Linked DNA regions of Astyanax mexicanus. The main gene of each other region encodes a partner of the protein of the gene in region 3 in a complex. Links are inferred from orthologs where the notes say so. Each region holds a gene or a part of one and is shown on either strand. Other genes may lie near its edges.

Region 1 (8,017 bases), on a different chromosome or scaffold from region 3:
AGAATTCCTTTGTTGCACATGATTAGTTCATTAGAGTTACCAGTCTCAGTAACCACAAGTTAACAGCTCCCTAGATAAGAGCACCTAAATACTTCACAGAATATTTTGGTTTGCTTAACACTTTTAAGTTACTAAATGATTTTATATCTGTTCCTTCATAGTCTGGATGATGTCAATATTAATTTACAATGTATAAAAAACATAAAAACACTAAATGAGAGGATGTACAGTAGGTGTACAGTACACACAAAGTGTTATAGCAACAGGAAAATAATAGACATACTTACACTAAAACAAAATTCATTATACGGGTGAAACGGATAAACATGAATAAATATGTATGTAAAAGAAGAAGAAAAACTTTGATATGATGACCATATCTGACCACATGTTAATAATTTTACCTAAAGCTCCTTGGAGTCTAGTGCATGATCATTTATGAATTACGACTGAGCAGAGTATTGAAAGCTAAGTACAGAATAAGGGAAGCGGGGGTTAAACCAGAACTAGAAAACAGTTTTCTTTGCAGCGGTAAGAGTAGCAAGAAAAAGTCTGGGCTGTGGACGAATAATCATCATAATTATCATCATGAAGCTCTGATAGCTGTGCTGCTTTATCTACTTTTGAGAAATGCTGTATAATGTATAAAGCATTCCTGAGGTAATGTTCACTAATTAAACCCAGTCTGCTCAGTTTATCAACAGACTGTTGTACCAGTTGCCCTGAAAAAGTGTTAGCTTCTGTTCCAGCCTATCAACACCTTCCCATTCCCGACATTACACCTTTTTAATTATGAACAGATTACCCCACAAACCGACAGATGCTGTCATTCTCTATCATCACTGCATTGTAATGATACTCAGCCCTGTTTTAGGGAACTGCTTTCATGTATTAAAGGCTCCCCTGAGGGAAGAACTCACCTGTAGAACAGTCTGAGCGATCTCCAGGTTCTCTGGGCTGTCAAAGTGAAGCATCTGCGAACCCAGACCGTAGTAGTAAGGTCCCATTTTGTGAAGATCCACCACGTTGGCATCAGCTCCGAACACTGTCCTCCAGCCCTCGCGATACACTTTAGGCAGTTCCACAGAGATCACCCGCCGCTTCCTCTCATACAAGCCCTTAGCCAACCACAGCGGCATCTCCATCTTCGTGCCCTAGAAAACACGCCAACACATACCCAAAATATATTACCATACTGTATCTGTAAATGCTGAAACAAATTACAATTTTATTTAATAAACAAAACTGTCTTTGTACTAATGTTGTAAATGTTTAAGAAATATACAACCTAGCATTACTAAAATATTAGTGTTTACATGAAGAATTAACCAGACAATTACATTACTTATATTTTATAACACAACAGTGTATGTTATGTAAACATACACTTGGCTGTAATTCTCAAAAAAGCTTGGCTAGACTGGTAAGGCTTAAAATAAACAACATTTTGGCCAAATGACACTTTTGTACACAGTTAAGCTGGTAACATCCACACACAATGCAGGAGGCCCCACATATCCCACAGGTCAGTACAGTGTTTTTAGCTTCCATGGCAAAAGTCCATAGATACTACCTGCTGTCCCAAGAACTTTGGCATGACAGTGTATTTACATTTTTTTAATCTTTAAAATCTTTATATTCATAAATAAAATGTCTACACATTGTTTTCACACAAGTTTTCACTGCAATACTGTAATATGCTTCTTTACAGTCATTTATTCTAATTTCTCAAAGCTAACAGCATTATAAGAGTTTTTAATGCAAGAAAAATTATTATCTTAGTCAAAACTTTAAAAAATACTAACATATTAGAACAAATAAATGATATAAAAGAATTCCCTGACTTCTTCATTTAATTCCATGCAACACAACAATGTGAACCCTGTTAAAACTATGAAAAACATGTAACATATGTAACATATTTACCAATGTTTACAAAAATATATACAAAAATGTACTAAACTTAAAGAGATATAAAGCAAAGTGTAAGCATGTTTCCAAGATCAAGAGAATTTAACCGTTTTTCTTTAAAGATTAAAAGACCCATTTGTATGCCGTTTTACATAAATAAAACATGGAAACTGTATGAAACAAAGCATATGATAAGTTAGTGGGTTTTTTTTTTTGCTCCTACCACTTATTATTTTATTATATTACTGGATTTTTCAATGCAACAATATCAATGCAGGATGTTCCTTTCAAATAGGCATACGGACATGGAAAACCATAAGCCTTTTCTCCCCTGACAGCAAAGAGAATTGAATAAGAGTTGTTGATTTTTTATTGCATTAGGTTATATATTTTAATGCCACTTATGGGGAAACAAACTTTTACAAATCTTTAAGTTAACATTGTTTATTAGGCGTCAGTTAACTTAGTTGTTGCTGAGGCCCAGTAACAGTTAGATATTTCTAATAACTCAATAACTAGCAAATTAACCTAGTTAGAAACCTAGGTTACAAATCTATTATCAACTTTTGCAGCAGAATTGGCAAATATTAAAGTTTTTTAAACGTCCTTTTGGCACCAAACCGACCTGGGAGAGTTAAATATAGTGTGTATTTTAGTGTAAGTTGTTTGGGTTAGCTTGGCTATTTAAGGTAGTTTGGCTAGGACAGCTAGACTAATTAAGGTTTAGCAAGGCTAGTTAAGGCAGCTTGGCTAGAATAGCTAGGCTAGTTTAGGTTAGCTAGGTTAGCTGGTTCACCTCAGGTATGTGGCGACTGTCTGCGTTCTTCTCCAGAAATCCGAGTCCTGGAAACTCCGTGTCGGTCTTACAGGGCAGCCGCTCCTGCGACAGCAAGATATCATCCAGAGAGAGGAAATTCTCCTCCATCCCCACCCCCGGAGACACGGGCATGTAGGACTGAGTGTCCATAATAACACTGCTTCCTCACCCAGAAACGGATAAACACACGTTGAACCAGTCTCACACACAGAGCTCAGAGCTTTCACAGAACACAAAAATTGGCGCCAGACTCCAACCATAACAACAGAGCCCAGATCACACCGAGCAAGCCAGAGCAATCGATGACAGAGGTAACAGTCAAACGTTCGGACACACTCCTTCCTAATCAATGTGTTTTATATATTTATTTTACATTGTAAAATTAATATTGAATACATTAAAGCTATACAGGAACGTGTGGAAATATTCTGTAAACAAAAAGTGTTTAACAAACCAGAATATGTTTTTTTTTTACTTTAGATTCGTCTAATCAGACACGTATAAAGAGCGGAGTAAAGTACTAGAACCAAAAAATTGAGTAACAGTAAAAGTGCTCTTAAGTACAAATTGGATTGTTCTATAAAAGCATCACACTTCAACATTTTTGTACTTAAGTATTGCACATAGTTTATGGTTAAATACATAAGTTAAGTACTGAAAGTAAAAGTACAGTACTGTGTTATTAGTGTAGTTATTACAGAAAGCTGAGGAAAGTTATCAGAGTGAAAGGCAGAACAGGAGCAGCGAGCTCTTCTTTTAATATCAGATTCTTTTTTGATCTCTTGATTCACTCAGTGATGAGGAGGTTTTAGTGATAATGTGGGTTTGGAATGATTCCTCGTTTTTTTTTATAATTGTAAGGAGTAATGATGCAGTACATAAAGATTTATAGGAGTAAAAGTATTAAACTCATCCATAATAAGTAGCTCGTGAAATAAAAGTTAAAGTAGGAATAAAAATAATACTCCAGTAGATATAGATACAGCATTTGGTAATATCATATTATATTAATCTACATTGTAGGAAAAAAATTAATAAAGAACTAAAGAAAAACACTGGTACTGTATTACATGTACTTTTGTCAGTGGTTTTATTATATTTAGTACTACCGTGTTAACTGTGGTCATGTCAATGGTTCAATTATATAATGTAAAAAGCAGCTATACTAAACAAACCAACTAGGCTTACCTTAGAAATTGATCAGGAACGTTCCTGGACAATCGATGTGCACAAATAAATCAATTCTGACATTGAAAATGTTTTAACACACTAAAGATGGCACAATGAACGTTGATTCAACATACAACAGCTATTTCTGCCAGTAATTCTCTAATGGTAGGTTATTTAGCTACTATTTTTTATATTTATTTATTTTATTATTATTTATTATTTTACTATTTTTTTATAACCTATGTAGATACACAAATGGCATAAAATGTACTGTAGACAGAAAGGGCTTATGATCAGTGTAATGCACTATGCAGGAAGAATAGTCCATTTAAGACCTTGTTTTTTAGTGCTTTTGTGACGGAACACACGTAAATAAACCTACGAATTCCAATGACGCATGAGCCTGGTAGAGCACGTGGGGATGTGTTAGCATGTCGTGATCATATTTAAATAATTAAACAATGTGTTTTGATTAGTTTGAGGAAGATTGAGATGTTATCACTTTGTCCAGAAGATGGAGCAGTTTCTCAATGTTTCTCAATTACACCTCCTTACACTGTTATAAAAAGTATCCAGACAGCCTCTCTAATTATGTGATGATATACATTTTGGACACACCTTCTCATTTACTGTTTTTATATATATTTTCCTTCATTGCAAATGAATCCTAAAGTTATCAAGTATATGAAGAAACACATAAGGAATCATTTCGTAACTTAAAAGTTTTAAACAAACCAAAATACTCATACTAGCATTTTGGTGCTCTTATCTGGGGAGCTGTTAACTTGCGGTTTCTAAAGCTAATTACTCTGATGAATTTATTCTGTGCAACAGAGGTAACTCATGCTCTTCATTTCTTGGGGTGGTCCTGATGAGAGCGAGTTTCATCGTTGCGTTTTTTAATTGTCTTTGCGACTGCACTTGACTGCTCTTTCAAAAAAAAAATTTTTTTGGATTGACTGACCTTCATTTTTTAAAGTATTTTTGTGTTTTACTTAGTTCAGAACCTTTTTACAACTTTACAATTGATCCTTTCAAACACATTAACAGGCAAGAAATTCAAGTAATTCGAGGAATTAACTCAGCACAGCTGTTAACTGAAAGCCATTCTAGCCTACCTCATAAAGCTGACTGATAAATGCCAAGATTTTAAACAAGAGGTGCTACTTTGAAGAATCTAAATAAAAAAACATACTATGGTTTAACATTTTTTTGTCTTACTAAATAATTCCATGTGGTTTTTTTTATAGTTTAGGAGACTTTAACATTAACCTAGAATACAATGAGAAGGTGATGCATTATTTAGGATCAATCAACTAATTAATTATCAATTAATGCCATTTAATATAGCCCCAATCAACACACACACACACACACCTTATCATGTGCATGTCTAATGAGGGTGAATCTACTGTATATATGTGTGTGTGCATAAATATTATATTATATTATTATTTAATTTCTTTACTTTTTTTACTCATGACAAAATAAGTATTTTTCTCTAGATGCTTACTGGAGTTTCTGAAGCTTTGCTGCAAATAAAAATGCTAATATAATTACAGACATCGTGGGCATATGTAAAACACAGTCACAGGTTACACTTCATTAATACATTAGCATTATTAAATCATACTGTTTAATATTTAGTTCTTCCTATCCCTTTACTAAGGGCTGTAAACAATAGTTTTATTCCCCAGTCTGCTGTGCTGTAGTCGCTTGTGTGGGAAACAGCACAGCTGTGTTGAAACAGGGCTGTTTTGGAAGATAAATGGGAGATAACTGCAGTTCTGCACAGACACTGCTGCTGCTGCTGCTGCTAATCCGCGCATGCGCGCTGCGTGCCTCCATTGTCTTTCAGCAGCGAGACGATTTTTTCCCGCCTGATTTCAGGCAATCCCGCCCACTTACTGTGATCTAAACACACAAAACACACGTGTTTTATATACTGTTCAGAAGCCTTATTCAGGTAAGAAAATTAGCTTTTATTAGTAGCTGTAAAATGTATAAGTCAGATGAACATATGTTTAATGTAAACCATATAAAACATTTATTTATTCCAATTATTTTCAGTTCAACTGTAAAATAATTGTTGGGAGTTGGCGGGGAATACTGAGGCGGTAAGAAAATACTTTCCACTCCCATGCTGAAGGTAGAAAACTACTATCCAGCCCGAATGCAGAAGGTGTGAAACCATGGTCCAGAACTAATACCAACACAAGTGGACGGACATTTCCGTCCAATTCTAACACAGGGGGTGAGAAACTGTCCAATACCTGCACAGAAGGTAATACACTACTATCCAATCCAAACTAAGAAGGTAGCAAGGGACCATTTAATCTCAACACAGGTAGCAAGGAAATTTTGTTCATTTCCAGCGCAAGTGGTGAAAATCTACCATCCAGTCCCAAAACAACAAAAAAACTATCCAATCCAAACATATGTCAAATCCAAATGCAAGAGTCCAGAAGCAAGTATCAGATCCCAAAGCCCAACTGATACCAACATTTTAGATGGAATCCCCATTATTCCAGAACACAATTCCACTGCTCTGCGACCCAATGGAAATATGTTATACTGTACTGATGTGATGCCTTTTCTATGGACAGTACTTCTTCACAGGGAACAGGCAAATGTGTGTGCATTTGTCAGCATGATGTGCAATTTAGAGGGAACATATTATGCAAAACTCACTTTTTCTAAGCTCTGTATTTCTGCTCGGGTCTCGACTGTTCCTATAAACACCAAGCGCAAAAAAACCCAAAACATTCTTTCGTGTTTTGTATGGTAAATTATTCTAACTTGTGCAAAAATACATTCATTTTGTCCACAAACATTTGGACATAATGTGTACGTCAAGCAGAACCAAACACGATCCAATCCCAACGCAGAAGGCGGGAAATAAGTATCCAATCAGAACGCAGGAGGCAGGGCGCACGTGGCCAATCGGGGCTCAGGAGGCGGGTCTTGTCGGAGAACGGGTGTGCAGAGAAAAAAACCGTAACGGCTGTGAGTGCAGGGAGCGGCGCACACTGACCTGAATCTCCGCGCTGGCGGAGAACGAGCGGGACGTGGGAAACGACGCCGATGGGAAACACGGCCAGCAACAGATGCCATGGCTGCTGGACTGCACTGTTGGTGTTGAAATATGAAGAATAAGGGAAGTAGGTTGAGAGCTGAAGCCCACCGCGGACCTGTCGTCGCTGTTAGGCTGTCATCGTGTGTGTTGTGATTGTGTCCTGCCCGCCCGCCTGCCTGCCGGGGGGAGACGTGTTGCGCGGTGTCTCGGCTTCGTCAGACTGCTGTGTTCGGCGGTTCTAGGGGATTTCTAGAGGATTTCAGGGCTTCTTCTCCTCCTCTCTTTCTCGCTGGAGGTGAGCCGAGACGGTCAGGTCGCCGTCGCATGCTGGAAGATGGGCTCTTGGGTCTCTTAGCACAGCTTTGCACAGCAGCAGCTGCTCCAGACAGACTTTATTGACAGCCAGGGAGGATCTGATTGAGGACGCATTTTATTTGTTAGCTGGCTGAGCTATCCTAACAATATATAACCTACGAAATTAACATAGGTTAGCTTGTTCCTGATTTGTTCTCTTTTTTTCATCTTTAGTTTGTTATTTGTTGTTGTTTTTCTCCCCCCACACAACAACACCAACACCCCCCACCCACCCAAACACACAACATACACACATCTGCCCACGGCCACCTTGGATGGGGGGCAAACAGAGCACGGCGGGGCGGCCCCGGGGAGCCTTTCCCGGCGTGTCGACGGACGACAGCGCGGTGCCGCCTTCGGCCCACTTCGGCCACTACCGAGCCGGAGCCGGCGGAACGATGGGGCTCCGCAGCCGCTCCGTGAGCTCCGTGGCCGGCATGGGGATCGACCACAACGCTGCAGTGCCCTTCGGGTTTTACACCGCGCGGGGCGCGACGACAGACTCGGAGCGGGCTGGCGGCGGATCCGGGTCGGACTCGGCTCACGGCAACGGCTACCAGGACACAAACGGCGCGGGACATCACACGGACGGCGTGCTGTACCTGGGCTCCCGCGCCTCCCTGGCGGACGCGTTACCCCTGCACATCGCGCCCCGGTGGTTCAGCGCACACAGCGGTGAGTGCTGGCCT
Region 2 (7,729 bases), on a different chromosome or scaffold from region 3:
ATATTCGAAGGAGATCCTCATACAGTCGATAGAGAGAGAGTTCTCCTCATCCTCATTGCGATGGTTATGACGAGAGACATGCCTCTGCAGAGTAGCAATGTCTGTTACGTACTTCATACTGAAAAAGAGGAAGGTATACACCACCCGTTACATTTTAAGAAAAATATGCCAAATAAACTGTGAAAAGGGGAATACATAAGAATTAAAAAAAAAAAAAAATCCTTACTGGGTGATTTTATCATGAACCCACTGATCAGTTAGACCAATAATACTCCACCTGTCAAATACACAAGAGTCACAATCCCATTTCTATAGAATGAATACTGATGTATTAGTCTTTAGTTGTCCAAACACCTACCAAAGCATATCTTTCGTGTCTTTGGTCATAACCCAGGCCAGCTCAAACATAACCATAGAAGCCTAGAAAAAAGACAAAATAATTAAGGCACTCAAACACTAAGACATAATCCCAATATTTAACAGCCCAATGTTTACCCACATCAACAAAAAACAATCACTGTTTTATAAAGCAAAACATAAAAAAAAATATTTTAATGGTTTTTTTTTTTTAATCCCATTTTTCTCCAGTTTTATTATGCTGATTACCCCACTCACTTAGCTGCACCACCCCAAAACTAGGAGGATAAAGGTACCAACAGCAAGCATGAACCTTTTCGGGCATGTTAACAATTAATTGAACCAATTTGGATGGACAGAGAGAAGCATGTTTTGAAGAAAAAAAAAAAAAGGTACAATGAATTTTATCTATATTGCTAACATCAACATATTAGTAAAATCCTAGTCAAGCCATCATATCATAGATGTGAATACTCACCGAAGTTCCGTGATACTCATACTGCTCGTAGTCAAACAGAATCTCCCGCCTGCAAACACACAGGACCATTAGGAGGTTACAAGCATGTTTGTATAAAAATAGCATTATGAACTGGACTACTTGACCAGTAATAGATATATGGCATTTATTCAGTCAACTCAGCATAACTGACCTGCGAGCTTCCCACTCCCTCTTTGCACGCTGCCTTTCGATTCTCCTCTCCAACGCACCCTGAAATAATAAAGGTAAAACTGAAAATCATTAGAATGGGAAGGAATTACAAATATGGGAACACATTTCTTCAGTGACTGGGTCCAGAAGAAGAAAACCTGCCTCGTCAAACCGCCGCCGTTTACCAGATGGCTCAGACCCGCCATCGCTTTCATTCCCAGAATCCCCTCCATCACCGTCCTCATCCTCATCTTCGTCATCACGGAAAATGTCATCATACGAGGGCACTCCAAGATCATCATCTTGTTTAATCAGCAGCTTAATCTAAAGCAACAATACATTTTAATGACATAATTTAAGATCCATAAAACACAGATTAGAAAAAGCAATTTAATAAAATTCTATTAAAACAAACAAAAGAAGGAGCACCTGGGTGTCATTGTAAACATTGACAACATCAACAGGCCTGTGGGTATCACAAATGAAGAAGACAGAGTCCTCTTCAGGCTGTAAAGTCTCAAGCAGGTCCACGTTTGCCCCGCAGTTAATTAGGACAAAATACTGGTACTGTAAAGAGAGAGAAAACATTTAAAACAACATACAGTACCCTTAATGTTAATGACTATTTAAAGATGTTCACAATGTTGACTGACATTTTGACATGCATCAGTAACTACATGAGAAAAACAAAACAATACAAACAAATAATCATATACTGTCAGATACTAAGTAAAGGGTCTGTGAAATTGTGAATGTCCTTCTAGAATGACCAAAGTGATCTACCTATCTAGGCCTGTCAAAATTTCTATTGCGATAAACAATGCTAAAAATTGTAATTTTAAGACTATTTAATTGTCACTAAAATAATGATAACAGAATAACAAACCAAGTATACTCTTATTACTCCACAAACTTATTACTACAAATTTAAACATTTCTTATTTATAATCTAATTTAACAAATTTATGCTGCAAATTTTATTTTATTTATATAATGTTTACTTAAAATTATAATCAAATTTATTATAAATCTCTCCTTATGTTCAAATAAAGTGATTTTGAATTGAATGTACATTTATTGTAAAATAAGTTGATAATGTAATTATCGTGAGAGGCCTGTATCTACCTTATCTATCGATCTATGCTTAGAAAAATGTATTGTGTAGCTAGTTTTTTGTTTTGTTTTCTTAATACAATAGAATAGTCATGTGACATAGGTAAGTTATGTTTTCTCTACGTAGAACATGTGTACACCTAGCTAACGTTAGCTAACAATAACTAACACTGTTAAGTTACCTGTTCCTTATGTTCCAGGAAAGCAGTGCCAAGGTCCTGCCAGCCTGTCACAGGAACAAGAGTGTACTGGACATGATCACAGTGAAACAAGGCCTAGAAAAAAACGATAGGGTTAAAATGAGATAAATTGACTTTAACTGTTTAACTACCTTTAACTACCTCGGATCTACACAAGGAATTTATCCCGACTAGTGAACCTGGTTATTTAGGCTTGTTACTTATGAGCTGAAAGACACTAACCTGCAGTATTTTACAGGCACACAGCGCGTCAATATCCGCGGACACAAGCAGGGCCACTCGCTTAAACACAAAAACATATTAAAAATTAGACATTAATGTACCTAAATACACATATAAACTAACTCACACACCACAGAATTCAGCGAGTCAACGTCAAAAAAGGGTAGATAGTTAGCTAGGTAAGGTACAATCACGGTCGCCCGGCTAACACTGCATAGCTAGTTTAACTAGCCACCGGGTTAAACTCGACTAAACTCTTTTATAACACGTTAAAACGAGAAACGCCTCACCTGATTAACCACAACATCATAAAACTCTTTCCTAATATCGGTAACAAACATCCTAAAATCTCAAAAACACATAAAAATCCCCTCAGTCCCGCTGCAGGCTCGGTAAATCAGCTTGTTTTGCTAATTCTCGCGACTTTCCGTCCAGAAACTCTGGCGCCAAATTCGTTCATACAAGAGGAGGCGGGCTTTGTCGCAGTGTCCAATCAGGTGACAGCTGTTACATCTTGTCAAATCTGCAAGCCCTAACCAATCAGATTCACTCCCTGAGTTAAAGGAGGCGGGTCGCACAGATTGTCAAACCAATCACTAAACTGCTCGTATTTAATGGCTCAAGGTGACATTTTGTACTCGATTTTATTTTATTTTATTTTTTTACGCAGCATCGTTGAAACAGATACAGATATTTGTTACGACAAATATAATGAGTGATGTTTTATGCTTTTGTTTAATTTATTTACAATATTGCATACATATTTGTTAACGCAGTGTTAGTCAGTGTCAGTGTTAGTTTAAAGAGAGCCAGTATGTAGAGAGCCTGGCCACTTCTTATCGCCCTATTTTAATCTGATTATTGGTACGAACCGCTAGAGGGAGCCAGCGAACGAGACCTCAATGGACGTAGAAAAATATAGCTAAACGGCTAAAAACTCAAATTACGTATAGTAATTAACTACCTTTCCAATATGTTTCCGTTCATTTTAAAAAGTAAAATAAAGTATTGTTTTACAGAAAATTGGATTTAAGCAGTAAAGGCCCTAGCATTGCTGCTACTGAGTGCTGACTGGTGAGTTGCTGAGATGATGCTGAAGTATCAGGCAGAGCAGGTTTAAAGGCTTATAACTGGATTTTAAAGCTTTAAAAGTATATATATATATATATATATATATATATATATATATATATATATATATATATATATATATATATTTATATATATATATACTTTTAAAGCTTTATATATTTTATATGTTTGCTTAAAGCACGTGTTCACATACCATATATATCCAATAAAAATAAACGAAAGTAAATAAACAAACAGCAACAAAAAATATGGGATTCTAATAAAACTTAAATATGCTTAAATATCGTTTATCGTTTTAACTTTAATGTCTTTGCTGTGAATTTTACTTATTAAATCTGATGATCATTTTAGGGAAATTATCAGCACAATTTAAAATTATTTGGTAAAGGTAATCAATTTTAAGTGTATTTCTTGTTGAATTTATTTTATTTATGGAGTCTCTGTTCTATGAACATGAATGTATATGAAGTATATGAAGTTATGAGCTATGAAGTTATGAAGTTATTAGTTAAATTTGTTAGTTGATTAATTAGATGTGATGTTAAGATAAATGTTTTGCTCAGTTTATTGGTTTTATGGTTGTTTGTTTTATTTTGTATTTCCAATTTGTGTATAATATATAAATAGTATATAAAATGTATAAAATATAAATAATAAATATAAAATGAGCTTCTGTTTGGAGTAATTTGATGACGGCATGGCGTTGCAGTGATCTGATTGGGCGGAGGTGTTTTGTTGTGGGGAGGCGTCACATCCTGTATACTCAGCGTTTCCCTGGGAAGAGGATAGTAGTGTGTTTTTGTACAGTAGCGTTAGTCTGATTTCTGCAGTATTTCTGAGAGAAGTAAAGCGTATTCAGACAACATGGTGGGTGTTGGAAGCTTTGCCACGTTTGTAGCTGATGAATGCGGGTGGTGTGCTGGTTTAAATAGTTAGTTGTGTGTGTTAAAGAGCCGGTAAATCTACGCTAGGCTAGCGACTAAAGCTGCACTGTCACTGTCAGCCCTTTTGTTTTTGTGTTCTCAGTTGAAGCTGCTCTGTAGTTTTACTGGGTTTGGTGAAACCGGGTGTTCAGTATTTTAGTTTCAGGGTGTAGTTGAAGATATGAGGTTCCGTAGCTGTTAGTTGTTGTGTGTAATATTATAGGGGTGAATGTAATCTAGCGAGGTTAGTCGGTAAGGCCTGAGATCAGCCCATCATTTCGCTAATCTGCTTTATATTGTTTTTACGTTTTCAGTTTTCCTTCAACATGTTTGATCACCCGATGCCTCGGGCCTTCCAGAACCGCTTCTCCACACAGTACCGCTGCTACTCGGTGTCGATGCTGGCGGGACCCAATGACCGCTCAGACGTGGAAAAAGGAGGAAAAAGTATTACATTTACAGTGTTTTTGTGTGATGATTCTTTAAGACATGATACTATATTCTGTGTCTTATTGTAGCGAATGTTTCAAAAGAATTCACATTCATTACTCAAGTAGAAATATAGATACTAGGGTTTAAATACTTCTGTAGAAGTTAATTAGTATCTCCAGCTGGCAAACAACCGACCTTCAACGGTAAAATGTGGCTGAAATATGGTTGAAGTAACGTCTGTTTTAACATTTAATGTTAAGTGGTTGTGAAAACGTTAAAATTTACACGTCGAATCAACATAATGTCCTTAACCTTCTGCCTTTTGAATTAGCATTTTACATTTCATCACTATATAAAAAAAAAGGATGGAAGGATGAAAAAGTGGTTTTGCTTCCATTTGCAGTAATTGCTTTTTAATTTGGCATCAATTCTTCGCCATACCTGGGGAAATGAGTATGTTCTATTAGTCTTACTGTTGTGTTTTTGAGATTAGACGTTTAATCTGATTGATAGTGGTGGGTAACATCCTTTTTACTCAGCTTTAGTGCAGTGATGTAAGTTTATAGTTCACTATAAACTATAGTTAACCATAGAATTTTCTAGTTTTTATGAGCTATGGTTTATGAAAGGTTGAATGTACACGCCATATCAACGTTGATTCACTTTTCAAAATCAACACCAAATCCAAGGTTGATTCAACCATAACATTAATGTTGATTCAATGTTGAAATGCCAGCTGGGATCAACTCAAGCTTTTTACTAAAAGTAAACGTGTAAAAAGAACTGAATTCAAAACTACTTAAAAGTATGAAAATAAAAGTAACATAAGGGGGAAAATGCATTAAGGACAAAAGCTTAGGCTGTGCCAACAGGGGCTTATAGTGCAGAACCCCATGTGGGTATGTCTTAGAATAGAGCTCCAAATAATGTGTTCCTGTATATCTTTATTTCCTTCACAATTACATGGTACAGTAATCTGTTGTGTTTGTGCACTTTTGGAGACACAGAGAACTGTGAATGGGCCCATTATCCTTCTCACATTGTGTGTCTGTCCCCAGCACTTTGTGTATTGTGGTGGCACTGCAGATATTTGGAGTTTTGAAATGACATTATGGAACCTGTACGTTTTGTCCATGGGTTCCATGTTGGCCTCACATATTAATGTTAGTGATGGGGCAAGGAGGGTCTAAACATGAGCTCCACCTGGGTTGTACACTGCACATGGGGCCTACTCATGTGATATTAATGAATCTAATCATGATTGATAACAACAAGAATAACATTTATTATATGGTATTTTTATATATCAGTTGACACAGTATAGGCATAGGTGTGTGTGTGTGTGTGTTTTATGTATATCCAGCGTAGGCTTAGATGGGCTACTGTCTCTTGATTGTACTCCTCTTGAGTGTGTAATACTCTCTTCCTTCTCTTGCCAGTTATAATGCCCCCATCAGCACTGGACCAGCTTAGTAAGTTCATAAGTTAATACTGTTTTCTAATACGAGACCACTGTACCACTGTAGTTGTATGAAATGATATGATGTACTGAATAAAACCTTCCTTATCCTTAAACAGGCAGACTTAACATCACATACCCCATGCTGTTCAAACTCACCAATAAGAACTCAGACAGAATGACCCATTGTGGTGTCCTGGAGTTTGTTGCTGATGAAGGGATCTGCTACCTTCCCCACTGGGTAATAAACTAAAACAAACACTTATTATTCTTGACATTATAGCCGAAGAGTGTAGTATTTTGTAGGTGCGTAAACTACTGTGTGTTGTTTTTCTTCTGATCCGTGAACTTAATATTGTCTTTGTCCCACAGATGATGCAGAACCTGTTATTGGAAGAAGGAGGTTTGGTCCAGGTTGAGAGTGTCAATCTCATGGTGGCAACTTACTCCAAATTTCAGCCTCAGAGTCCAGACTTCTTGGACATCACAAACCCTAAAGCTGTGTAAGTAATCCAGTGTAACAACATACTGCACTCAATAGCTAAGCTGTAAAGGAAATTAAAGGGGCACCAACAAAGCATGTAGAGTCTCTGTCGCTACATCTTTCTTAAACATGACCGCATATCTTTTTACTGCAGTAATATTGTGGAGAATGAAAAGGAAGCCTTTTTTGTTTGAAGACCCTGATGAAAACCCACTTTTTATTATGTATCCTGAAAGTGTGAGGACCCATTACAAGCATATTAAAGCAGATAATCAAGGGCAGGCTTTGTGAAATGTGCCCCACTCAGCTATCCAGTACTTTAGCAGATAGCTAACATTTACTACTGGGATACTGAATATCACTTCTGTATACAGCTCTGGAAAAAATAAGAGACCACTTAAAAATGATGAGTTTCCTTAATTTTACCAAATTGAAAATCTATTGAATATAATCAAGAGGAAGATGGATGATCACAAGCTATCAAACCAAGCAGAACTGCTTAAATTCTTTGCACCAGGAGTGAAAAAAGGTCACTCAAAAGCGGTGTGTAAGATTGGTGGAGGAGAACATGCCATGCATTAAAACTGTGATTAAAAACCAGGGTTATGAAACTTTATGAATATGAACGTGTTTTCTTTGCATAATCTGAGGTCTGAAAGCTCTGCATCTTGTTTTTTTATTATTTTAGCCATTTCTCATTTTCTGCAAATAAATGCTCTAAATGACAATATTTTTATTTGGAATTTGGGAAAAATGTTGTATGTAGTCTATAAAATAAAACAACAATGTTCATTTTAC
Region 3 (6,964 bases):
GGCAGAGCTCGAAGCTCGGCGTGGAGGAGGACATGGAGTCGATGTACGCGCTGAAGTCGATTGCGCTCTCGTCGTCGTAGATCGCCGGCGCGTTGCTCAGCTCCACCACGCCGCCGCCGCCCATACCGTCCTCCAGGTCCTCCGGCCGCGGAGGAGCCCCGGCGGCTTTCCCGTCCGCGGGCGCGCAGTTCGGCCTGCTCTCGTAGAAGTTGGCGGTCTCCAGCGCCCAGTTCAGGCTGCATGGCGGCGGCGACACGCACCGCGAGTCCGGGCTGTAAGTGTCGCACATGGACGCAGCTGAGAACAACTGCGGCTGGAGAAGAAGCGCGCAGGAGAAAGAGAGAGAGAGCGCGAGCTCCTCAAAGTCCTTAAAGTTCCTTCAACTCTTTTAATTCCAAAGTTTCTCCAACTCCTAAACTTTTTTCTAAACTTCTCCAACTCCAATTACAAGTTGTGTTTAATATATCAGCAGGTATCTTGAAGGTAATAACTTGCTGCTATTCTGCTGTTGTGCAGCAGGTGCTTTTATTTCTCATCTAAAACTCTTATCAATATCTCCTCGTATCTCCAGCACCGTGTCTCCAGCGCTCCTCTCCTCGCTCTGCTCTGAAGCGGTTCTTCAGCTCCTGGTAAATAAGTAAGCGCTGCTCCTCTACGTCAAACCTCCGCCGCCCCCTTCCCCAAGCCAGTCACGGCCAGCGCCGGACACGTGGTGCCCCAGCTCCCACCCGGAGCGCACGAGAGCAGGGTGGGTAGTTAGTTGGTTGGTTGGTTGGTTGGTTGGATGCGTGTGTGGAACGCCCACCACGATACTACGAGTAAACTTCAGTGACGAGGAGCAACAAGTCTCAACCGCTCAAGTTTGTACCGTGAAATGTCAAACCTGTGCTTATTGTTCCTGTTCTTCTTCTGCTGCTGCTGCTGCTTCCTTTAGCATGCTCTTCACACATAAACTAGTGCATTAAAAAAAAAAAGGGAAACTCTATATTTTATAGATGTATCACACACAGGATGATCTATTTTAAGCGTTTATTTCTTTTATTGTTGATAATTATTGTTGATTGTGGCTTACGGCCAATGAAAACCCAAAAAATCAGTGTCTCAGAGCTCAGATTTCAAATTGGGCAGTGTGCCAAGTCCTGCTGGAAAATGAAATCATATCTCCATAAAAGTTTTTTTTATATGAAGTGCTGTAAGTGCTGGGAAAACAAAACTGCACTGACTTTATACTTGATAATAAAACACAGTGGATCAACACCAGCAGATGACAGACATGCCTCTCCAAACCACTCTTCCTCCAGACTCTGCTTCCTTGATTTTTCAAATTAAAATGTAAAACTTACTGATGATCAGTGATGGTCTGGAGAGACATGTCATCTGCTGGTGTTGATCCACTGTTAGTGGACACACTTCTATTAGCTACACCAGCAGATTATACAATATAACACTGTTATTAATACATGTTAGCACTTGTTTGTAGACCTGCTGTTTGGCAGATATTTACAGTAACCAAGTAGAACTGATTCACTACTGTACTTAAGGACTAAAATGCTGTATCTGTTTCTACTGGAGAATTATTTTCACTTGCTTTATTTTATTTCTTCTTGTTCTTAGATTATTCCTCCCCCAGGTTCTCAGGCCCCTGATTGGCACCTAATTGGCAGCACCTGTGAGTATGGGCTCTGATACAGTGCTCAGTAGTTCTGCTGCTCCAGGAATCAGCTTCATACCTTGTTTGTTTTCAAGCTGATGTTCCTTAAAACCAGGTTGCAGCATTATTGGCATCATCTGGAGTAAGCCCTGGTACTAGTATCTCCAAATTGAAGGCTGAGTTCCAGATAAATGTTGATGTCAGATACTAGAAGACAATACTCCAAGATCATCAAACACCAAACGGATCAATGGCAGAATTAACTGTTTTTAGTTGGCAGAGAGGATTTATTGGGCAGACTTTGTAATGGGTACACGTACTCAGCTCTGCTGCTCATCCCACAAATACATGTTCCTTACTAATGCTGCTTCAGTTAAAACAGTAATTATCAGGATTTCCAATGTTATAAGATTTATCACCAAGAAGCAGCAAAGTTACAACAAACAAATGGTAATATAAAATCTACCAAACACAAATGTCCTTACTTTTTGTGCTATTTTAATTTTCATCACTTTATTATAATGAAAGGCTAGAGACCCAAACCAAAGGTAGATGTGGGATTATAATTGATATTAAACTGTATATAATAAGTCTGTAAAGGCTGTTAAATGCAGTGTATTTGGCTCCTCTGGGAACATGTGGATCCTGTATTTAAAGGCTGCACATGGCGACCCGCGCTCTTAGAACAGGCGCCACCTGGCGGCCGCAGCTTAAATTACAGGTTTTTACGGGTTTTCCTTTGGCACTCCCTCCTGGTGTTACTAATCCCAATCCAGAACTGTCTGTTCCCTTTTTGTGTGTGTGTGTGTGTGTGTGTGTGTGTGTGTGTGTGTGTGTGTGTGTGTGTGTGTGTGTGTGTGTGTGTGTGTGTGTGTGTGTGTGTGTGTGTGTGTTTTGTCTGAGAGCAGGGCCAGAGACAGACAGCAGGATGTCCATGCAAACAAGTTAATAAATTATAATGAAATAAAAAAAGAGGCAAACTACTGAACTTAAGTTTTTGTGTAATTATTGCTATATATTGTTTTTTATTTTATACTTTATACTAATTTTGTGTCATTTATTGATTTATAATGTTTAAAATGTTCAACTGTCAAATGCTGAATAATAAATAAAGATAATAAAAGTCATTTAAAAATCAATATATTCCTAAAATATTCCTAAAGAAAATAACTGCACTGTCCTGTCTGTTAAACTGTCTCGTCTGCTGTATTTATTGTAGTGTTATAGTTTTATGTCGCACTATTTTTACACTTTTGCACTTTATGTTGTCTATTGTATTATTGTTCCATTTTGCACTACAGTTCCAGAAAAAACGCAATTTCGTTATACTGTGTACCTGGACTCATATGTAATGACAGTAAAAGACTCTTGACTCTTGAAAAATCAAACATTTCATGTCCTCCAAACCTTTCATTGAACAGAAAAGGATTTTCTATGACCAACTCTTGTAGCCCTTTTTCGAGCCAAGGCCTGTTAAGAGTTTACATTAACCCCTTAATGTCATCTAATTTACATAATGAAGGTAAAATTAAAACTAGCTCCTTTAAATAGTAGATTGTTCGGCTTCTACAGCCCTGTTCCCATTATTTCAACAATTTGATCGCTTTAATTGAATGTTTTAAGTTCCATATCACTAGCTTTAAAGGACTTCTGTAGCAAAAAATGCTTTATTTTCTTTTCTATAATTATAAACGTGTTTATTTATTTTTAATGCAATGTTACATGGCTTATCTACTTCCAATACAATGAGACGCACAAGTGAGTTATTAATAAAAGTATTTTTTTAAAATATGTGTGCAAGAACATGTAAAAAAAAATATATATATATATTTGTCTGTTTATATTCTTACTATATTCTTGTAAAAACTAGTGTTTTATGCTCCCTTGCTCTATAACTTTTGATTTAAATGATTAGTTTATAATTTAGATTATATTTGATATATTCACAGGGACTCCCTAGCTTTCAAAAATCGTATTTTTCCTTCAAAAATATATAATTCCTACCATAAAGGGTTAAATAACAACCCCTTATTTAAGTCACGTGGTAGCTCTTCTTTGTCGTCGATATTTGCCGCGAAAACTGTGGATCAAACCAATGTGAAACAAAGCTTTTGTTTATAACACTGATTAAAAATCGCAACTTTAGTTTTATTTTTTAACTTTGTAAGGTATATTTTGTATAAAACTTTTATAAATAGTCATTTTTAGTTGGTAACTTTGTTAAAAACACTTAATATCGATTTAAAACAACAATATCTATTTAGCTACCTCCCTCTGTACATATGGAGTGGATCGTTCCAAGTCTGCACGTCTGTTTGATTGGTCAGAATTTCCCCGCGAAAACGACGTCACGCCAGCGATTTCGCGCCACTCTGCATGTATTTGGAGAGAAGGATCCGCAGTGGTAAGTTCCTCGTGTTTTTTCTTTTGTGTTAAAAAACGCGAATAATTTAAAAACAAGCAAAAGTTAAAACAAGAGTTTTAAAGCGATTCTTTATAATTATAAGGTGTGATTTTGTGATTAACGTAGCTGGAATTACTAATCACTAATTAGTAAATATTAAAAACGTTAAATAAAGTTAGTTGAATTAGTAAGACTTTGGATTTTGATGTTTTGTTATAATAATAAAGGTGTTTTTAATATTGATATGTAGTTAACGATGTATCTGTATGTAAATACGCACGTTTTGTTGATGTTTATCTATGTTTAAACATCTAAAATACACTATTTTACTGATTTTATCTGCCCAGCAACAAGTAGTGGCAAATCCAGGTCCCGAAAGTACGAATCCGCACCGGGATTTCGCACCAACTGCCTGGGCGGCTCTGCTGCAGCTGAGCTGCAGCAGAGCCGCCCAGGCAGTTGGAGCGAAATCCAGGAGTGGAATTGCACTTTCCGCACTATTTTACTATTTTAAACCACTTTTACTATTAACTATTTTACAATTTCACTGTTTTACTTTTTCAGTATTTCAATTCTTATGAATTTATAGCGAAATCCCGGAGTGGATTCGCACTTTCCGGACTAAATTTACTATTTGTACAAACTCTGACGGTACTAATCCACTGTTTCACTATTTTACTTTATTAAGTTACTGTTTTCATTATGAACTGCTTATGGAATTGGAGCGAAATCCCGGAGTGGATTTGTCCTTTCCCGACCATTTTATTATTTTAACTCGTTTTACCAATCCACTATTTAAAAAAAAAAACTATTTTATCTACCTAGCAACTAGAAGTGGCAAATCCAGATCCGAAAAGTTTGGATCCGCGCCGGTGTTTCGCCCCAACTGCCAGGGCGGTTTAGAATAAAAATACTAACTTAGTGAAGTTTGTTATATACTAAAATTAGTAATTTTTTTTTAAATAAAAAAAGTGCAAATCTTGGCAGCTGGAGCGAAATACTGTAGTGGATTTGCACTTTCCGGACCTGGATTTGACTGTAATGCCTCTTTTTAGCTCTTTGTTTCATGTGGAAATAATAAAAAAAAAACTTTGCTTGTTTGCTTACTTTACTGATTTAACATTAACTAACTATGTGTAAAAATGTTTTTATTTTAGTGAGTGTTCAAAATGTCTTCCCCATCCTCGAGCGCCCGCAAGCGAGGCAGGAGCAGCAATCCTCCAACCCGTGAGTTTAAATACAGTTTATTTATTATTTTACAAGAGAAATCTGGTGTGAAATGCACTTAGGTTGTAATAAAACATGATGAAGAGTGTTAACTTTTAACCTTCGTGTATTTGAAGGTAAATACAAGTACTGTCACGATTATATTTTGTAAATCATTTTATCTATATTATAAATTATATTATAATTTTATGACTATTTAAATACCACTGATGTCATAATAAGGGAGAGCATAATATAGCAATTATACTCTTAAAGACAACATTTGAATTAATCATAGATCTATATTTTATTTCTTCACCTGCTGCAGTCTGTTCACACTGTGTATATGGAGTCACTGATCTTTTGTCTGTTGTTTTAATAGTTTAATTGTTTTATTTGTTTGTGTGATTTTAGCTGGTAGTGAGGATGTCCTGTCTCCGTCTCCTCGCGCTCGTGAGCCGTCTACAGGAGAACTGCAGCCCATGCCGACGTCCCCGGGTACAGACCTGCAGAGCCCCGCGGTACAGGACACCTCCCTCTTCTCCAGCCCCATGCCCCGACGCTCCGGTACTACATCTATCTATCCATCCATCGCCAGGGTTCAGGAGAGAGTACTCAGCTAGAGCTTTGGGTATTTTCTGGAGCACAGAAAAGTTATTTAGCAGTTGGTGCACTAACAGGCATTGGGGGAATGCAGGCGCTATCTTGGCAGGTTGATTGAATCAAACGGTTAGTCGCATATTTGCAACAACAGGCGTTAAGGGGTTAATTCTAGATACTTAAAGGTCTAATTCTAGCAGAAATGAGACGCATGCATAAAGAAAGAAACAGGAATATGTACTAAATGCTTTGTTTGATCCAGTTCCTCAGAGTGAAGTGGATATGAGCTCTCCTCTCATATACGACACACCGAGCAGAGGAACGCCGGCTCGACAGAGACCTGATCTGGGGTCTGTCAGAAAGGCTCCGCAAGTGGACCTGAACTCTGACACGGTGAGTGTTAAAGTCTGAGTTATGATTTGATTAGTTCGATTAGTTTAGATCAGTGTTGTATTGATTAGTATTGAGTTATTAGTGTGTGTGTGTGTTAATCAGTGTGAATTTTCTCCTCCTATCAGCCGTCTGGAGAAGCTGCTGTAGCCAGTGAGCAGGCCGCTGGTCAGAGACTCGTCATCTGGGGAACTGATGTTAATGTGGGAACCTGTAAGGAGAAGTTTCAGGTGAGCTCAGAGCAGCATCACACAACATTTCCAAACCTTCTGTTGCAGAACTTTCCTCTGTAGAACATCATAAAATATAATAACACGACACACGAAGAAGAAATGCTAATATTGGAAATATTTTTCAGTTTTTAGCGTGTAGCTACGCACTTTCACCTCCTAGTAGATTTCACATTTCTCCTAATGAGTGTGTGTTTATCTACTGAGCCATTCACTACTTTCATTCACTCTTCATTTTTCTCCAAACTGTCGACACATCACTGCTCGCTCTCTCAGTCTTCAGTTCATTTCCTCTATTAAATCTCACATTTAAACTCAGTAACTTAGAACATCACATTATTCTCATTTTAAAAAGCATCAAACCTATAAAAAAAAGCTCTATATACTTTGCCTAATACTTAATTCACACTCATATCAAACACAGATCAGCCACAGCATTAAAAACAGCTCCTAACATGTATAATCACCTTTATTGTTTCTGCT
Region 4 (6,987 bases), on a different chromosome or scaffold from region 3:
GAAATATTTAATATGTGACTTCTTTACAGCAGTCCAATAAGTAAATGTCAGTAATGACAATGTCAATAATAAGTCCTCAGCAACATTGTTTTTGGAAATGTTTAGAAATGGCTATCTGAAGGTTTATTAAGAACAGTCTATTCAGGTGAGATACTATTCATTGCTGTGACATACAACTCCAGAAATAAAAGTAATGCCACATTATCCATGCAGGCTTAAACTTAAACTTACTGGTTTAGTAGCAATTTGGTCAATTCCATGTAATAAGCACTGGGGATGGGAGTGAAGGTGTCCTCTTTTCTCTCCTGCTCCCTGATTTCTTCCAGTTTATCTAAAAGGCACAGAAAATTGAGAGATTACATAAAGCTATGGGAAACATGATCAAAACACAACAGGCTGTGAAGCTGTGAAAGGCTGTCAGGTAAATGTATGTTAATAGATCCCAAGCAAAATTTAAACAGGATCCAATTTGTGTTAGGTAAATGTTATTGATTGTTTATATTCATGTGAAACATAACTTCATAAGTGAAAAAAAAACATGCAAAAATGGGCATGGGCAACAAAGAGGGTTCCCAACAGTCTGTAAAGTACAGAATCAACCCAAACTTGTAACTAAATACACATTCCTAAATACAGACAAATGTTGTTGTGTATTTTACAAGACAGCTAAACTGAATAGTTATTCCTCAGTCTGGATGATCAGCCTTCCTACTTCCTAATTAATAGTGTTATGATTCTCTGTATCCCTACAATCAAAGCAGAGTAAACTTTTTTTAATGAGAATTACTTGCTTCGTTTAGAAACAGACAGATGCTAAAGTAGGAATGATTATTCTAGACCTGACTATAAGTGTCTCTGTAGTGTGTTTAGGTGCGTGTGCAGAACATTTGTATGGAGAATAAAGTTGGTAATAAAGGCTGAGCAACCATATTCTAACTGCTTCCTCTGCACTGTATATAAAAGAAAAAAAACATTCCATTTTGACAGGCTCCTTTCATCTGTAGCTCGATTTTTTATTATAAGTATTATCCTTTTGTGTCAATGTATTCCCCTTAATGTAACCTACAGTATGTCACATTGTTCACGTCACTATTTGCGTGAGCCAAGGCTCAAGACTTACAATAATATTAAAAAGGGTTCATTTTATCTGAAGGCCAGGGCGAGAAAGAGACTTAAACCTTCAATCCTAACCACTGAAAGATGTAGTGCGACCACAACTCAACTCTAGAAAGACTTTTATTATTTTATCCCTACACCAGAAATTTGTCTGCAACAGTAAAATCGCTTGAAAATAGTTTGGTGTATAGTCGGCATAAGTTTCATGTGCATTTAGAAGTAGGGCTGCAACTAGTGATTATTTTGATAGCTGACTAGTCTGATGATTTTTTTTTCTGCAATTAATCGGTTAGCCCTATTTAGAAGGGGTAACCACAAACATTGGGACAGTGTAGGGGTGTGCGATATTGTATCCTACACAATAATATTGCCTACATTTTAAATAGTGTGAAACATTGTGCCATATCACTAACCCCTAATTAAAACATCAGTGCATTACTTTTTTGCGATATTTCCCAAAAGAACAATTCACGCTGTTTTCATTTACAACTATAAATCTACTAGAGACAGACTATATCTGTCCAGTATAATTTTTTTTTCTTTAAACCTGGAAATATGGAGATATTTGGAGTGTATGATTAGTATGACATTCTGGATTATTGATGTCTGTTATAAATCTGATAAATCTTGTATTATTTAATATCTCAGTTAGGGGTGTGCCATATCATAACACATGCAACCGTAAAAATTAAAAAAATAATAATTTTGTTGTTGTAGTACCATAATCTTCTTCTTATTTTTTTTATCTGTGTTTAGTCATATCGCCAAAAATACTGTGATATTATTTTAGGGCCATATCGCCCACTCCTAACAGTGCAAGGAATCCAAAAGCTATTAAAAGTTATAAACTGTGAATAATGAATGCTTAATTATTTTAGGAAAGACCCAGAACCCCAGAGTGAGGATTGGTTACCTGCGTCCATCCAGTCTGGAGGAACTATCCTGCATTTCTGCCTCTGCTTCAAGTTCAGGGCCAGCCAGACCGGCACATCCACCGGCAGCCCGGGGTTAAACGGACCCAGATCCCCCTACAAATATACGATCACAACACAAGAGCTTATAAACAACCCGGTGTTGTGTCGAGTTGTGCTACCTTGTCAAACCGTGCTACCCTAGTGGTATTTAATTTATATAAAAAGGTCAAAGTAAAAAAAAAAAACATATTAGAAAATACTCAAAGCAGAAGCCTAGGTGAGGTAACGTTATGTGGATAGGCTAAGTTAAATCACTGTAACGTTAACGTTATCAGGTAAAATAAAAAAAGGTAAGGTCATACAACAATATTGTTTTTTTTTTATCTTTTATTGTTAATTATTATTTTTAACTGCTATTTACAGTACAAAAATGCAAAGATGATGTTTATTACCCAAAAATAAAAAGTAAGTAAGTTAATTATAGAAAGAGTACAAAAATAAACTTTTGGTCGGCGCATGCGCAGTGCCGTAAAAAAGCACATATCGATGGGTAGCATAACTCGACAGAACACCGGCGAACAGCCCCATTAACCCCCAAAACAGCGCTGCTGCTGCTGCTGTCGGATAAACACTTAAATGTATAAGTTTATAACTCGCTAAATTAACTAGAGTTAACTTAACTTACGTAACGCTAGTTAATCAGGCAGCCTCTGAGGGGAGACTATGCTAAGCTAACACACACTAAACTAACGTTACTCACCCCGATTAAATAGATCTTATCCAGGCTAAAATTCGGGATAATCTTCACCATTTCCTTCTCAGCGAGGAATTCCACCTCAGACGGATCCATGCTTTGTTGAAATATCGACGGAAAAGCCGAGAATAATCCTTAAATCCCCCGAAAACTCAGCTCCGCTTTTCCCGCGGATTGTTCAGACAGGCTGCGTGACGTTACAGCCCCGTGGTTTAGCCGGAGCCGCCCCCCGTTATATCAGAACCCGCCGCTAGAGGGAGCCAGCGAGGAAGACCTCAATGAATGGGAGTGAATGGAGCACCTCAGTTTCTGATTTTGCTACTTATAGGTATAAGTTTGAGTAAATTGAACATTGTTGTTTTATTCTATAAACTACGGGCAACATCTCTCCCAAATTCCAAATAAAAAAAAAACATTGTCATTTAGAGCATTTATTTGCAGAAAATAAGAAATGGCTATAATAAAAAAGAGAGAGATTCAGACCTCAAATAATGTAAAAATAAAAGCTCATATTCATAAAGTTTTAAGAGTTCAGAAAGTAATATTTGGTTCAATAACCATGGTCCCATAACTGGCACAGCATGTGCACTAAATGTGCTCCTCTGTCTGGTGATGGTGCTGAGCAGAGGAAGGTGTTCAGCAGCTTGCTGAGGGCTCTCCTCTCTGCCAGTGTGGTTAAGGACTCCATATCTAATCAGCTAAATTGCAAAAAAAAAATAATAATAATACAAATAGTAAATTAATACTACAAGAGATTCCTTTAATTGTAAGATTTAAAATACATTATTTTGCTAATACAATGACCTGCATATTTCCATGTTTCTTAAAAAAATGTTTTAGGCAGTAAAGGTGTTTGCATTACTGCTACTGTGAGCTGACTGGTTTTAGTTTAGTTTATTAAAAAAAATCCAAAAATGTATTGGTGGAAGATTTAGCTTATTTTGTTATTTACATAACTAATATACATGTCTGTTACACTGTGAAGTATCACAAAAACAAATAAAACAAACAATCCATAAGAAACACCTTACAATTTCATATATGCAAAATAATTCCTGTTTTGTACTTGTTTACCATTTGTTTAAAGGTTTATAACTGGAGTTAGCAATGATACAGTTTATATTTTTCGATGTTGAAGAAATTAGTTTAATTGTCAGTGTACAAATAATCAAACATTTATAAACTCTGTTTTCCATACATTTTGGACAATAATTCGTCACAAACCCAAGTGGGTTTTCTCACTTGGTCCTTTGGTTTAGCCTGTAATCACCACGTGACCTAGCCACCAGGAGGCGACAGAACTGTGATTTTGTTTTTTTTATTTTTTTTAGTTATTGATTTAGTTTTTTTAGTTTGTTGTTTTTTTTTTTTTTTTAAATAATAACCATGATTTGGAAATAGAAAGTTTTATACTCCTGTAGAAACTCTCTTTATTGCTGAGAGAAATAATAAAAAATGTGATTCTGTGTCGAAAAGGGTGCACAGTACTGCAAATAGTACATTCCATCATGATTTACTACTGATAGTTTAGGTATGCTTTCATTGGTTATTTGAAATTTATAAATGCAGTTATTGTGGCTGTGTATTTTTTTTCATGTTTGTGATGGTGAGAATCTACATTCTATTTCTAATTTTATATTGCTTTTATTTATAAGCCATCGCTGCTCTTTTGTGTTTAATTTCATTGTTAGAGTTTTTAGTTCCTGTACTGCTTTTCAACTGGTCATGCTCCTGATTCCTCAAGTAAAAACAAACGATCCAAAACGACATACACAGCGACACAATACAATAAATAACCAGTATGACTGAAAGCAATACTGTGGAAAAAAATCAGTGGACAAATACATCCATGTTGCTGGTTCTTGTTTTAAATACCCATAAGACACAGTGTCAAAAAAAGAATGTACAAAGATTTCTTCAAAAGATTTTATTCTTACATTTAGTTTTACAAAAGCTAATTTCAATCATCTCAATCATATTTTAATAATGATATTAATAATTATATTAATCCTATCAGTCCTCAGTGAATATTACTGAATTACACAACTTCCAAATCAATCATTTTAACACAAATATCACCTGTGCCTTATTAAACTAAACTCATATTTGGTAGAGCATCAAAAATTGCTTACATATTAAGACTAATCTTCTTTTAAAGTTGCATCTTAAAAGAGGTATATACATTAAAAATATTAGTGAAATAAACAATTTTCTTTAACATAAACTCTGAACGATTATTTATTATCTCTGTAAGGCTACAGAATTCAGGGAAAACAAACAAGCAATTACATTTGAAAAAAAAAAACACATCTGAATCATTCTCTAGCATTTACAGTTGTATTGTGTATGGATATTAAAATAAGTCCTTCAAGCTGATGGCTTTACGCTTAAATGGACCTTATTTGCATTTAAGGTGGTAAATAATCTTGACCAGCCACTTCAGCTGAAATGGGAAAAATACGCAATGCTGCAATTTCCATCCCATTTTTAAAGGATCTGTGGTTGTGTTTCAGATTGATTAATAAAATTCAGAAATTAAAACACAAATCCAACCAGGTTAGTATGTAAGAAAAGAAAAGTTGGATCTGTGTTGATTCAAGTTATTTTGCTCAAAATAAACAATAAAGTGAAGTGGAAAATTAAGCTTTGTTAGTAAAAGAAAACTTAACGACGTGAAAAAAGTAGAACTGATCGTAATCTGCTATAAACCACCAAATTAATAAGGTTGTGCGTCAAATGGATGCATATAAATTGCTGCCTGACAACAGAAAAAAAGAAAAACAGACCAAAATATAAATCATGCCATGAAGGTCAGAATCATCTCAGACCTTCATTACACATGTTGTACCAGTGTCCTGCTTGCCCTTTAGAAATGCGTCCTTTCCATCAGCTTTTCCCATTGGGAATAATCTTTCTATGGGACTGAACTCAGTAACAATACGCAACCCATTTTGGCATTGATGGCTTGAACAGTACAGGAGATCTCCTCGACGGCTTCAGCATAGATGCAGCACAGATTTGTTGATTTCAGGATTTGTCCAGTCGTTCCTGAGGTCATCCAGGTGGTTGTCAAAGTCTATGAGGTTTTCATAGGACCTGTTTTCCAGGAGGGCTGACGTGATCTTCTGAGCTTCTGTCCAGTCTTCAAAAGAGTCTCTGAAATGAGATTCAAAATCCACAGTCAGTCATATGCAGATACTTATGCAAACTCTTGTAAAATGTTACTCAACACATTAAAAGATTCTAATTTAAAAAGCACTAAAACTACCCTGAGATTAGAGCTGGGCGATATCGTAAAACGATAAAATCTTGAAATTCTGCAAATTTATATGCAATTCTTGATTACAATTTAGATGTTTTTAGTTCCTTATGATACACATCAACTGATAAGACAGTTTTAATCAGTTTCTATTTTAGGATAACATAATATAAATAAATAAACAAACAAACAGCATTTACAGCTTTTTTTATTTATAAATTTAATTTATATTTTTTCCCATTTTCTCCCCAATTTAGCACAGCCAATTATCCAACCCACTCATTAGGACTCCCCCTATCACTAGTGATGCCCCACCTGCGACCTCCGCTCGTAGTGGCAGCGCTTTAGTCTGCTGGACCGCTTGGCGCCCAGCATTTACAGCCTTATATCAAGTATACAAACATTCATGTTCAAGGGAGTCAAAACTGTGCAAGCTCTAAATAAGATACAAACCTAACCCACTTTTAGTTAAAGAAAACTGAAACATATGAAAATAACTGTAAAATACACCGTATGAGAGAGTTCTTTAAAGGTATCTTAACAGAAACACAAGCCTATTACCTAAGATTCCCTCTTCCAGGCTCTAAATGTACATATCTACAATCTCGATTATCCTATTTTGAAAATCACATTAAAACAGTAATTTGATTAGTGTTAGAGTTAGAAGAGTTAGAGGCAAATCACACTAGTATATCTCCCAAAAATTCAGGGAAGTACCAGATTTGTGACCTTAATATACACTTTTAATCATGACTAACCACAAAATTAAAATATAAAAATATTATTTAATTTTGCCAACCTTACATTTCTTATTTAATTTACAATTAAATGTATTTTATCAAACACTTCACAGAATATTAGTTATGTATGTTTAGTGGGCAGACATTTCCTTCTGTAACTCACATTTTAACTGTGTGTTACGTTGAAAGTGGTACTCTATACTC

What was found.
Region 1: mcm4 (region 3) and gins3 share a complex: the UniProt entries of both Homo sapiens proteins name them as parts of the CMG helicase complex. The link is inferred for Astyanax mexicanus from reciprocal best matches to the Homo sapiens genes MCM4 and GINS3.
Region 2: mcm4 (region 3) and cdc45 share a complex: the UniProt entries of both Homo sapiens proteins name them as parts of the CMG helicase complex. The link is inferred for Astyanax mexicanus from reciprocal best matches to the Homo sapiens genes MCM4 and CDC45.
Region 4: mcm4 (region 3) and gins2 share a complex: the UniProt entries of both Homo sapiens proteins name them as parts of the CMG helicase complex. The link is inferred for Astyanax mexicanus from reciprocal best matches to the Homo sapiens genes MCM4 and GINS2.

What each region holds. Positions count from the first base shown.
Region 1 is NC_064417.1:7,533,114-7,541,130, reverse strand, and holds the start of gins3 (DNA replication complex GINS protein PSF3), read right to left. Parts: upstream 3,018-8,017; 5' UTR 2,879-3,017; coding exon 2,708-2,878; intron 1,155-2,707; coding exon 921-1,154; intron 1-920. Other genes in the region: E3 ubiquitin-protein ligase znrf1, read left to right, coding at 7,604-8,003. UniProt on the Homo sapiens protein: Required for correct functioning of the GINS complex, a complex that plays an essential role in the initiation of DNA replication, and progression of DNA replication forks.
Region 2 is NC_064419.1:34,876,839-34,884,567, forward strand, and holds the start of cdc45 (cell division control protein 45 homolog), read right to left. Parts: upstream 3,016-7,729; 5' UTR 2,883-3,015; coding exon 2,832-2,882; intron 2,602-2,831; coding exon 2,542-2,601; intron 2,395-2,541; coding exon 2,302-2,394; intron 1,574-2,301; coding exon 1,436-1,573; intron 1,331-1,435; coding exon 1,169-1,330; intron 1,067-1,168; coding exon 1,008-1,066; intron 885-1,007; coding exon 836-884; intron 421-835; coding exon 359-420; intron 278-358; coding exon 227-277; intron 119-226; coding exon 1-118. Other genes in the region: ufd1l (ubiquitin recognition factor in ER-associated degradation protein 1), read left to right, coding at 4,498-4,500, 4,871-5,003, 6,428-6,460, 6,567-6,688, 6,820-6,950. UniProt on the Homo sapiens protein: Required for initiation of chromosomal DNA replication. Core component of CDC45-MCM-GINS (CMG) helicase, the molecular machine that unwinds template DNA during replication, and around which the replisome is built.
Region 3 is NC_064413.1:413,037-420,000, reverse strand, and holds the start of mcm4 (DNA replication licensing factor MCM4), read left to right. Parts: upstream 1-3,964; 5' UTR 3,965-4,055; intron 4,056-5,212; 5' UTR 5,213-5,224; coding exon 5,225-5,282; intron 5,283-5,675; coding exon 5,676-5,828; intron 5,829-6,123; coding exon 6,124-6,254; intron 6,255-6,379; coding exon 6,380-6,481; intron 6,482-6,964. Other genes in the region: cebpd (CCAAT/enhancer-binding protein delta), read right to left, coding at 1-289. UniProt on the Homo sapiens protein: Acts as a component of the MCM2-7 complex (MCM complex) which is the replicative helicase essential for 'once per cell cycle' DNA replication initiation and elongation in eukaryotic cells.
Region 4 is NC_064416.1:12,866,076-12,873,062, forward strand, and holds the start of gins2 (DNA replication complex GINS protein PSF2), read right to left. Parts: upstream 3,002-6,987; 5' UTR 2,881-3,001; coding exon 2,791-2,880; intron 2,145-2,790; coding exon 2,030-2,144; intron 332-2,029; coding exon 232-331; intron 1-231. Other genes in the region: emc8 (ER membrane protein complex subunit 8), read right to left, coding at 5,781-5,940. UniProt on the Homo sapiens protein: Required for correct functioning of the GINS complex, a complex that plays an essential role in the initiation of DNA replication, and progression of DNA replication forks.